Cricetulus griseus: one gene and its partner. The protein of the gene in region 1 purifies or fractionates together with the protein of each later gene. This does not show direct contact. Links are inferred from orthologs where the notes say so. Each region holds a gene or a part of one and is shown on either strand. Other genes may lie near its edges.

What was found. The genes of interacting proteins can lie anywhere in the genome.
Region 2: the proteins of Blnk (region 1) and Syk purify together in Homo sapiens (affinity purification with western blotting; 3 studies listed by BioGRID and IntAct, with this or other methods). This does not show direct contact. The link is inferred for Cricetulus griseus from reciprocal best matches to the Homo sapiens genes BLNK and SYK.

Annotation. Positions count from the first base shown.
Region 1 is NC_048596.1:20,641,966-20,645,885, reverse strand, and holds the end of Blnk (B-cell linker protein), read right to left. Parts: intron 1,312-3,920; coding exon 1,192-1,311; 3' UTR 945-1,191; downstream 1-944. UniProt on the Homo sapiens protein: Functions as a central linker protein, downstream of the B-cell receptor (BCR), bridging the SYK kinase to a multitude of signaling pathways and regulating biological outcomes of B-cell function and development.
Region 2 is NC_048596.1:271,552,057-271,556,912, reverse strand, and holds part of Syk (tyrosine-protein kinase SYK), read right to left. Parts: intron 3,647-4,856; coding exon 3,508-3,646; intron 1,914-3,507; coding exon 1,832-1,913; intron 1,343-1,831; coding exon 1,311-1,342; intron 1-1,310. UniProt on the Homo sapiens protein: Non-receptor tyrosine kinase which mediates signal transduction downstream of a variety of transmembrane receptors including classical immunoreceptors like the B-cell receptor (BCR).

The DNA of each region.
Region 1 (3,920 bases):
GTTCTTTGTAAAAGATTGCCTCAGTCTTCCTTATTGTAAATTGTTCTTTCTAGTACATTCCAAGCAAGTCCACTTTTTTTTTTTTATCAGAGAAAACATGTTCTATCCAGATTTTCAAAACTTTGGTGTATATACACATGTAAGATGTTATTTGTAAAAAGTGTCTGTGAATTGTATTCATTTCACAGGGCTGTTATTACCACAGACCACTACAATCTGACTCATTGACCCCCAGATCTAGATGCTTGAAGTCTGAAGCCAAGGTGTAAAGGGGCCGATGTTTCCTCTGAACCTGGAGGGGATCTGCCCTTGCCCTTGCTTGGCCTTTGCTGGTTTGGCAGCCATCGTTGGCATCCCTTGGTTTGTGAGTGCACAGTTCCAGTCTTCACATGGTGTCCTCCTCTGATGCCTCTTCTTTCTCGCTATGCATGACTGCACCTGTAGTCACAGCTCTTTCCCTCATAAGGAACATGTCAACAGGTCGCCTGATGGGTACCTTACTGACCCCATCTTAACTTGACTTTTTATCTGTAAGGCCTTAGACACAATTCAACCCATAATTTAGTAGTCATGAAACTGACATATAAAAACATGCCATGCTGTTTAACTAAAACCGGGTATGATGGTGCACACCTCTGATCCCAGCACTTGAAAGTCAGAGTCAGGTGGATCTCTGTGAGTTTGAGGTCATCCTGATCTACAGAAAAAGAGAGTTCCAGGATAGCCAGAGCTACGTAGTGAGACCCTGTCTCAAAAAGAAAAAAAAAAAAGTTTAACTAAGACATAACTGTCGTGCACCAGTGGTAGACAGCCTGGCTACATTCAGGTGCAGTGATTGCTGACAGGCCTAAACTCCCAGCAGCTTTGTTGCATCCGAGAGTATGATTTTCTCAGTTAAAAATACAGTGTTGTTTTCTTACATGACTGAAAATGCATTACACCTGTTTCTTTTAAATACATTTATTTGGAGAATATTAGTAGCGTAATAACTGAACTTCCCCAGCTATCACTTCATCAGGTCAGGCACTAGAAAAGTTGATGTGAGCATCTTATGAAGGAGTGAAGTTTACCACCTCAGTGGCTTCATTCATCTTCTCTGCTATTGCTGATGATTCAGATACAGAATATGAAGTTTTCTCAAAAGAAGAAATGGAGGAAATGTCTAAAACAGTGGGATCGATGTCTCTTTCTTTATGAAACTTTCACAGCATATTTCAGTCTTGTAGAATCCTTTGTGTTATTCTGACTGTCAATAAGAACCAGGGGGTTGTGCTGATGGTTCTGGATGATGTCCACAACACTTCCAAAGTACTAGGGAAGGAAAAATGGGTGAATTAACATCTGTTTATGTTACCTCCATGCTCCTCTCCTCTCCTCTCCTCTCCTCTCCTCTCCTCTCCTCTCCTCTCCTTTCCTCTCCTCTCTTTCTCAAGGTGTTCACAGTTACCAGGTCTCAGTTGATATTCTGCTCAGAAGTGTCCATCTAGTTTAACAAAGACTGGAGCCTGCAGGGTGGTAGGTTCTGGACCTTCCTGTATTTAGTAGGACCAAAGCCCCATGGATAGCTTCAATTAGAATACCTACTTAGTCAAGTTACCTCACTGATTAGGATGTAATTTTTTTTTAATGTCTTGCTAAATGAGTTTAAACATTTGCTTCTGAGTTGGGTGTGTTAGAGCACCCTTGATCCCAGCACTCTGGAGGCAGAGACAGGATGAGCCCAGAGTGAAATCCAGAACAGCCACAAAGAAACCCTGTCTCAAAAATAATTAAAAACCAGTTTTTATTGTCAAACATGAAACTGCCATGTGATAGGCTTCTCTATATCCCTCACAAAACACAAATTTGATGTGGGATGTCCTTCTGTATGCTGTTAAGATGTATTGCTTTTATTGGTTGATGAATAAAACTGTTTTGGCCAATGGCCAGGTAGAATATAGCTAGGCAGGAAACCCAAACAGAGTTACAGAGATAAAGAAGGCCAAGTCAGGGAGATGCCATGTAGCCGCTGGGGAAGCAAGGTGTGAGGTAACAAGTCACGAGCCTCATGGTAAAATATAGAACATAGAAATGGGTTGATTTATATGTAGAGCTAGCCAGTAAGAAGCCTGAGCCATCAGACAAGCAATTATAATTAATATTAAGCTTTAGAGTGGTTATTTGGGAACTGGTGGGCAGGATGAGAAAAGCTTCCAACTACACAAGTTATTTGTAATTTTGCACGAGTCTTGACAATCTCCCAAAGGCCCAATTGCTAAAAGCAATGGTTCTCAACCTTCTCAATGCTGCAAACCTTTATACAGATCCTCATGTTGTGGGGACCTCCCCAACCATAAAACTGTTGTTGCCACTTCATAACTGTAATTTTGCTACTGTTATGAATTACAATGTCAAAATCGGATATATGCAACCCCTGTGAAAGTGTTGTTTACCCCCAAAAGGGTTGCGACCCACAGGTTGGGAACCAGCATACTAAAGGCAAGGTAACCACAGTGCCACTATTATGCTAGTGGAAACTTTAAGTAACAGGCCTCATTGGAAGTCTTTACTTCATTCTGGATGTGCCCTTGAGGGCATTGTGGGACACCAGTCACTCCTTCTTCTTGTGAGTAATTTCACTCTTCCATGATGTACTGACTTAACCATGGGGTCCAAAAGAGTAAGGCCAATCTATTACAGACTAAGACCTTCAAAACTGAGTCAATATAAACTTTTTATCTTTGTAAGTTGGTTATGTTAGGTATTTTTATTATAATGATGGAAGCCAACTGCAAAACAACTTATACAATAAATTACTCTTAGGATTCAGTACCAGGAAAACTGATTTCCTAGCTACATTTATTATTTTGTTTTCTTTTCTGAACAAGAAAGGAGAGCTTTGGGGCTGGAGAGATGGCTCAGAGGTTAAGAGCACTGACTGCTCTTCCAGAGGTCCTGAGTTCAATTCCCAGCAACCACATGGTGGCTCACAACCATCCGTTATGAGATCTGGTGCCCTCTTCTGGTGTGCAGATATACATGGAAGCAGAATGTTGTATACATAATAAATAAATAAAATCTTTTTAAAAAGAAAGGGGAGCTTTATGAATCCTCTTATTTCTGTCTATACTTGGCTGCTGCTTGTAAACTTAGAGCCAACTTGATGACAAAGCAATACTGAAGCTTTATGCCCTACTCCTACCATACACATTAATCTTTCTATATTTGAACCTCCCATGTCTGTAAGTCTTGATTTAAGGATGTCAGAAAGTTTGTTTTGAAAAATGATCAAAGTTTTAAATGAAAGATTAAATAAATATAATACAATATATAATTATTAATATAAATATAATTAAAATAAATATAATAATTAAATAAATATAAATAAATTAAATAAATATAATAATTAAATAAATATAATAAAATGCATTAAGTATACAAAAATTCACACTCATCAAGTAGGTACATTTATGATTTTTAAAATAATAGGTCTGCAATACTTCTATGGTTTATGGAACTAGTATCCATTGACTTTATTGTGTCCCTTAACTTCTTCAGTACAGATAACCATCTGGTACAAAGCAATTTAGAAGTTTCATTGATTGTTTGGAGGACTAAGGATGCACGGATCAAGATTCACAGGACTAGGCTCAATATAGATTAATATAATTTCTTTTCGGGGAGAAGGCACCAACACAAGAAACAGATGACTGCCACAAGTTCCTGCTCCAGGGATCCACCCAGGCTGCTCTCTGTGACCCGACTGGAAAGAAGAAAGAGAGCTGGGATCCGGACCCTAGATGTAATCCTACCCTCCATTAGGTCCACACCTGTGCCCACATCCAAATGGGCATGGTCAGCACTACAGGTGCAGGGGTGGGGGAGTAGATATTGCACTACAGATGACTTCCAAGATCTACATATTGATAACAATGTATTCA
Region 2 (4,856 bases), about 250 Mb from region 1:
TTTCTGCAAGTCTGGACCATCTGAGATGCTTCCAGAAGCGTCCAACCATCTGGACTGAGATGTCTAGAATATTCAGTAAGTGTTTTCCACTGAAGTCTACAAAGCTAAGACTGAGACAGGAAGCCACCATGTTGTCTGTGGAAATCTTGTGTCTCAGGCTCCACAAGAGATTCTAGTCACTGCCTGCTTCAGTGGCACTGGTTGCAACATGACATTGTCATCTACAAGTCCTGGGACACAGGCAGCCCTCAGGTCACAAGCTGAACATGCCTGAGAGGGACAGCAGCTCTGTCTCAAGGGCACCCAGTGATAAACACCAGGTCCCTGAGAAACATGAGGACCCCATGCCGGTGGGACTATGTTTCAGAGGACCCCCAAGTTTGCTGATATTTTAGCCAATTCAAGGTCTCTCAGTTTGGTAACAGGTGCTGACTGTGGAATCAACAGTGTCAGTACTGAGTGGCCAACTGGAGACAGAACAGGTGTTTGGCTTTTGGTAGACTTTGTGTTTTAGGAGTTAGCAGGGCAAAAGTCAGGAATTATCCCCTGGTGATGCTAACGGGCTGGGATGTCCACAATGAAGTCTCCAAGACATGAGAAAGCCAGCTCCTGCTGAGTAACATCTAAGTACCAACTCTGACATCCTGGATGGAGAAGGAGCTTGAGATTCCCTTCTCTTTCTGGGCATGAAGATGAAAGTGGTAATCCAACACAAGGACATCGAGGGCACAGTCTCATTGAGTGACATGGAGTGGGGTGTGCGCTCTGGCCAAGACTCCCAGACTCTTTCCTTCTCTGGACCTTTCTCTCGAGCTCTTACCAAGCACATCCTCCCTCCCCTAATCATTAGTCAAAATGATTTACCCAGGAGGTCAAGTCCCTCGTAATTCTGTGTCAGTTGGTTTGGCCAAAAGAATTGAGTTGCTAAACTCAAGGAGATACCCATCTGCTGGCCCTGCCCTGCTGCTATGCAGGTCGGCAGGCCTATGGGCAGCACACACGTGTTTGTACAGACTGAACTTGAACAATATGTCTCCTTTTTCTACATGTGACAGGAGGCCTTTCTGATCTAACAGTGGGTTTCTTCCTCATCCTGCATACTTACAGAGCATGAGGAGAAAGTAAGCCAGCCAAGAAGCCATGAAAATAGGCTAGCTTAGCAGTGGCCACAGGCAGGCGCCTTCCCAGACTCGCTGGAGTTCCCAGGTCTTCAGGGCTGTTTTGGAGTTCAGAACCTGTGCTAACTAAAACCCAGTTGTGTACTCAGACACAATTGCTTCCCCAGCAGAGGGACCTATAATAATACTCACCACAGAGTGGGCATTTGAACTTTGTGGGTGACCTGCAAGAAGAGTAAGCCATGGTGACAGTTAGACAATTACAGTGGTGTTCGTGCATACCATCTACTTGTCAGATCAGTCAAGATGACTGGAACATACTGAGGAGAGTGTAAACTTTCTGCATCAATGCTTTTCTCTTTTACTGGGTTTTTTACACCTTCAATTAAATAATATTTTTTTGAGACAGAGTCTCACTATACAGATTAGGCTGGCCTTGAACTCACACAGGTTGCCTGCCTCTGCCTCCTCAATGCTGGGATTAAAGGTGTGTGCCACCATCCCTGGTGGCAATTAAAAATCCACTAGTTTCCTTTAAAAGTTATAGTGATTAGTTATCCTTCAACTAATGATTCTTAGAATTGCAGTGACATTGAGCTTAATCACGTGGTAAAAATCGAAGCCTCATCTGAGTGTGGAAGAGACAAATCCGACACCAGGCTGACAGTGATCAGTTTCCCCCAAAGCAGACCCTCTGTGTCCCAGTCACTCACCCATCTGTGCGCCTATCTTTTGACATGGTACGGTGAGGACTCTTAGCAGTCCATCTGGCTTGTAAGAGTAATGTTCCACCAGCTGCAAGGGAAGCAAGGAAGAAAGTGCTTAGTAGAGGGAGGGAAATGGAGACAGTGACAGAATCATGACTCTCACTGACTTTAAAGCCATTGAAACCCCAGACAGTCTCTTCCACAGGGCACCTGGGAGATGGGCTTCAGATGTCCTTGGGTAGAGCCAACAAATTTTTAGCCTTGAAGCAGTGGGTCATATCCATAATGAAGAATGGAGAGTGAATAGATACATGCTGTTTACTGCTTAGCTAACATTCACCACTCTTCTTTTTTTCTTTTTGGTTTTTCGAGACAGGGTTTCTCTGTGTAGCTTTGGAGCCTATCCTGGCACTTGCTCTGGAGACCGGGCTGGCCTCGAACTCACAGAGATCCGCCTGCCTCTGCCTCCTGAGTGCTGGGATTAAAGGCGTGCGCCACCACTCCAGGCACATCCGCCACTCTTACACAGACCAGGACTCCAACCCAGGGGCCAGTGCCTCCCACCACAGCCTAGGTCTTTCCACATCAATTAATGCGCTCAAAACAGTTCCCACTGACACGCTCATGCTCTAATCTGGTCTATACAATCCTTCATTGAGACTTTCTTCTCGGGTGTTTTAGTGTGTGTCAAATTGACCATTAAAACTAACCATCACACAGACAGATGGCGATATATTAGTGATCTGAAGTCTCCACCCCCATCTTCTAGTCCTTTGTTGGCTTGGTTGTTTGTTTGCTGAGATAGGATTTTGCTAGGTAGCCCAGGCTGGCCTCGAATTTACTATGTACCTGAGGCTGGCCTTCAACTTTTGGTCCATCACAGTAAGTGTAGCTATGATGCCAAATTAAGGAAGCAACATGTGCTTAGTAGTAATTGAGGGGATCTGGGTGAACAACGTTGGGTGCCTCTACACGCTTGAGTTGTCTCTAGGTTTAATGACAGCGAGGTTGAGAATGAACCCTTTGCAGAGCAGGCCTGCAGAGTTCCTAGACAGGCAGCTAGCTGCCTGGAGCCTAGAAAGAGTAGAGATGCTCCCCCCCTCAGTTGCTTTAACTTCCCATGGGGGCTCTGCTATGAGGGTAGTCCCCATATGGCTTATCCACCCTAGTGTCATCCGGGCATCTCACAGTTCCAGGACCAGCTGGGTCACAACCCCTAGGTTCTTTTCTTTGGTCATCTGTGATTATGTGTAATGCTATTCCCTGATGGCAGGACTTTCTGTTAAATTCCAGACACTGCCCTGAAACACATGATCTTGAGGCACCAAGAACTTAATAGCTCTAGATGGAAACTCTGCAGCCTCTCTGACTTGATGTTCTCAAACACGCCATTTAGAAATCAGAGAGTGGATGGGACAGATAGTCTCGTCCCTCCCCTTCTTTCTAAGAGTTTTGGAACTAGCAGCCACATGGGCCTGCATTGTGCCCTTCAGAGGGGAGAGAGAGAGAAAGACAGAGACAGAAAGACATACAGAGAAAGACAGAGAGACAGACAGACAGACAGACAGACAGACAGAGAAAGACAGAGAGACAGACAGACAGACAGACAGACAGACAGACAGACACACACACACACACACACACACACACACACACACACACACACACAGATATATACGCACCTGCCAGAGGGTGTCGAACTTCTTCCCCTCAGGGATGGAAAGCTTCCCTGTCTTGTCCCTGTCAATACGGTAGTGCAACACCTTCCCTTCGTGCAGCAGGCACAGTGCATAAGAGCCATTGTTGTCTCGAGCCCTGATCCTGTAGACAGAAGACACAGGATCACCCCCTACTCTGACCCTCTGGCCCAGGAAACAGTACCCTAGCCACAGTGGATCACAAGTGCTCACCAGAACCAGCAAGTGGGCACATGCTTGGCAGGCAGCACCCAAACCTCGAGGTCCCAGGAAGGCTCAGTACCAGAGCCAGTGAGCCAGCAACAGGCACAGGCTTTGGGTATCTATGAGGCCCCTAGGCTCATCTTCATTTTTGTTTTGTTTTTTGAGACAGGGTTTCTCTGTGTAGCCTTGACTGTTCTGGAACTCACTCTGTACACCAGGCTGGCCTCAAACTCACAGAGCTCCTCCTGCCTCCCGAGTGCTGGGATTAAAGGTATGAGCCAGTCTCACCTCCATTTTTAAACCACGGGTGCAGGTGTGGTTTGGTTGGGGAATTCAGTGGGCATTTTAACAAAACCTTCCAGAGCACACATGAAAGATTAGGAATGCTTCAACTCTCCATGTTCTTCTTCACTTTCTTACCCGTTCCCCAATACCAGGGCCAGGTTTAAAACACTATTTGATATTATCAGGTGGCATTGACATCCCAGGCCTGAGAAGGGAATGGTAGGCAATGGTAGCCGTGTGGGATGAGTCAACACAGACAGCCTGAGGTCCAGCAGGCATCTGCAGATGAACTGAAGACTCCAATTCACTAGGTGACAACACAGAAGCACCCTTGAACAGAGACACTTGAACAGCACAGTCCTCACACTACAGGAGGAAGCAGTGATTCAAAACCTTAGGCCCCAGAGAGGGTGTGTTCCAGGCTGACACAGCACCCGGGGGTGTGACTCTTCCAGTTTAAAGCCTCATTCTCCCCAGCCTTGCCGCCCTCCCCACTTTCAGGCAATTCACACCCCCTGATTATGAGATCTGGGGAAGTGTGAGGCCTCTGCATTTGCTAAATCAAGAAAGATTGAATCTCAGCATTCAGCAAGCAACACCCAAATGCTCTGAGCTTGAGAATAGCTTAGTCAGGCCCCAGCCGCCAGGAGGAGAAGGGTGTCTGCAAACGGGCACCATCTGTACTGCTTTCTCCGGGTACAAGATGTCAAGACCACAGCCACAGTTCAGACTGAACTGGGTCTTGGAACCGGATGTGACCACACTTCCCTTTCTCCTGCCATGTAGCCCACCTCTTGAAAGGGGGGGGGCGAGGGGAGGTTGTAACTTTAAAATGATTTTCTTTT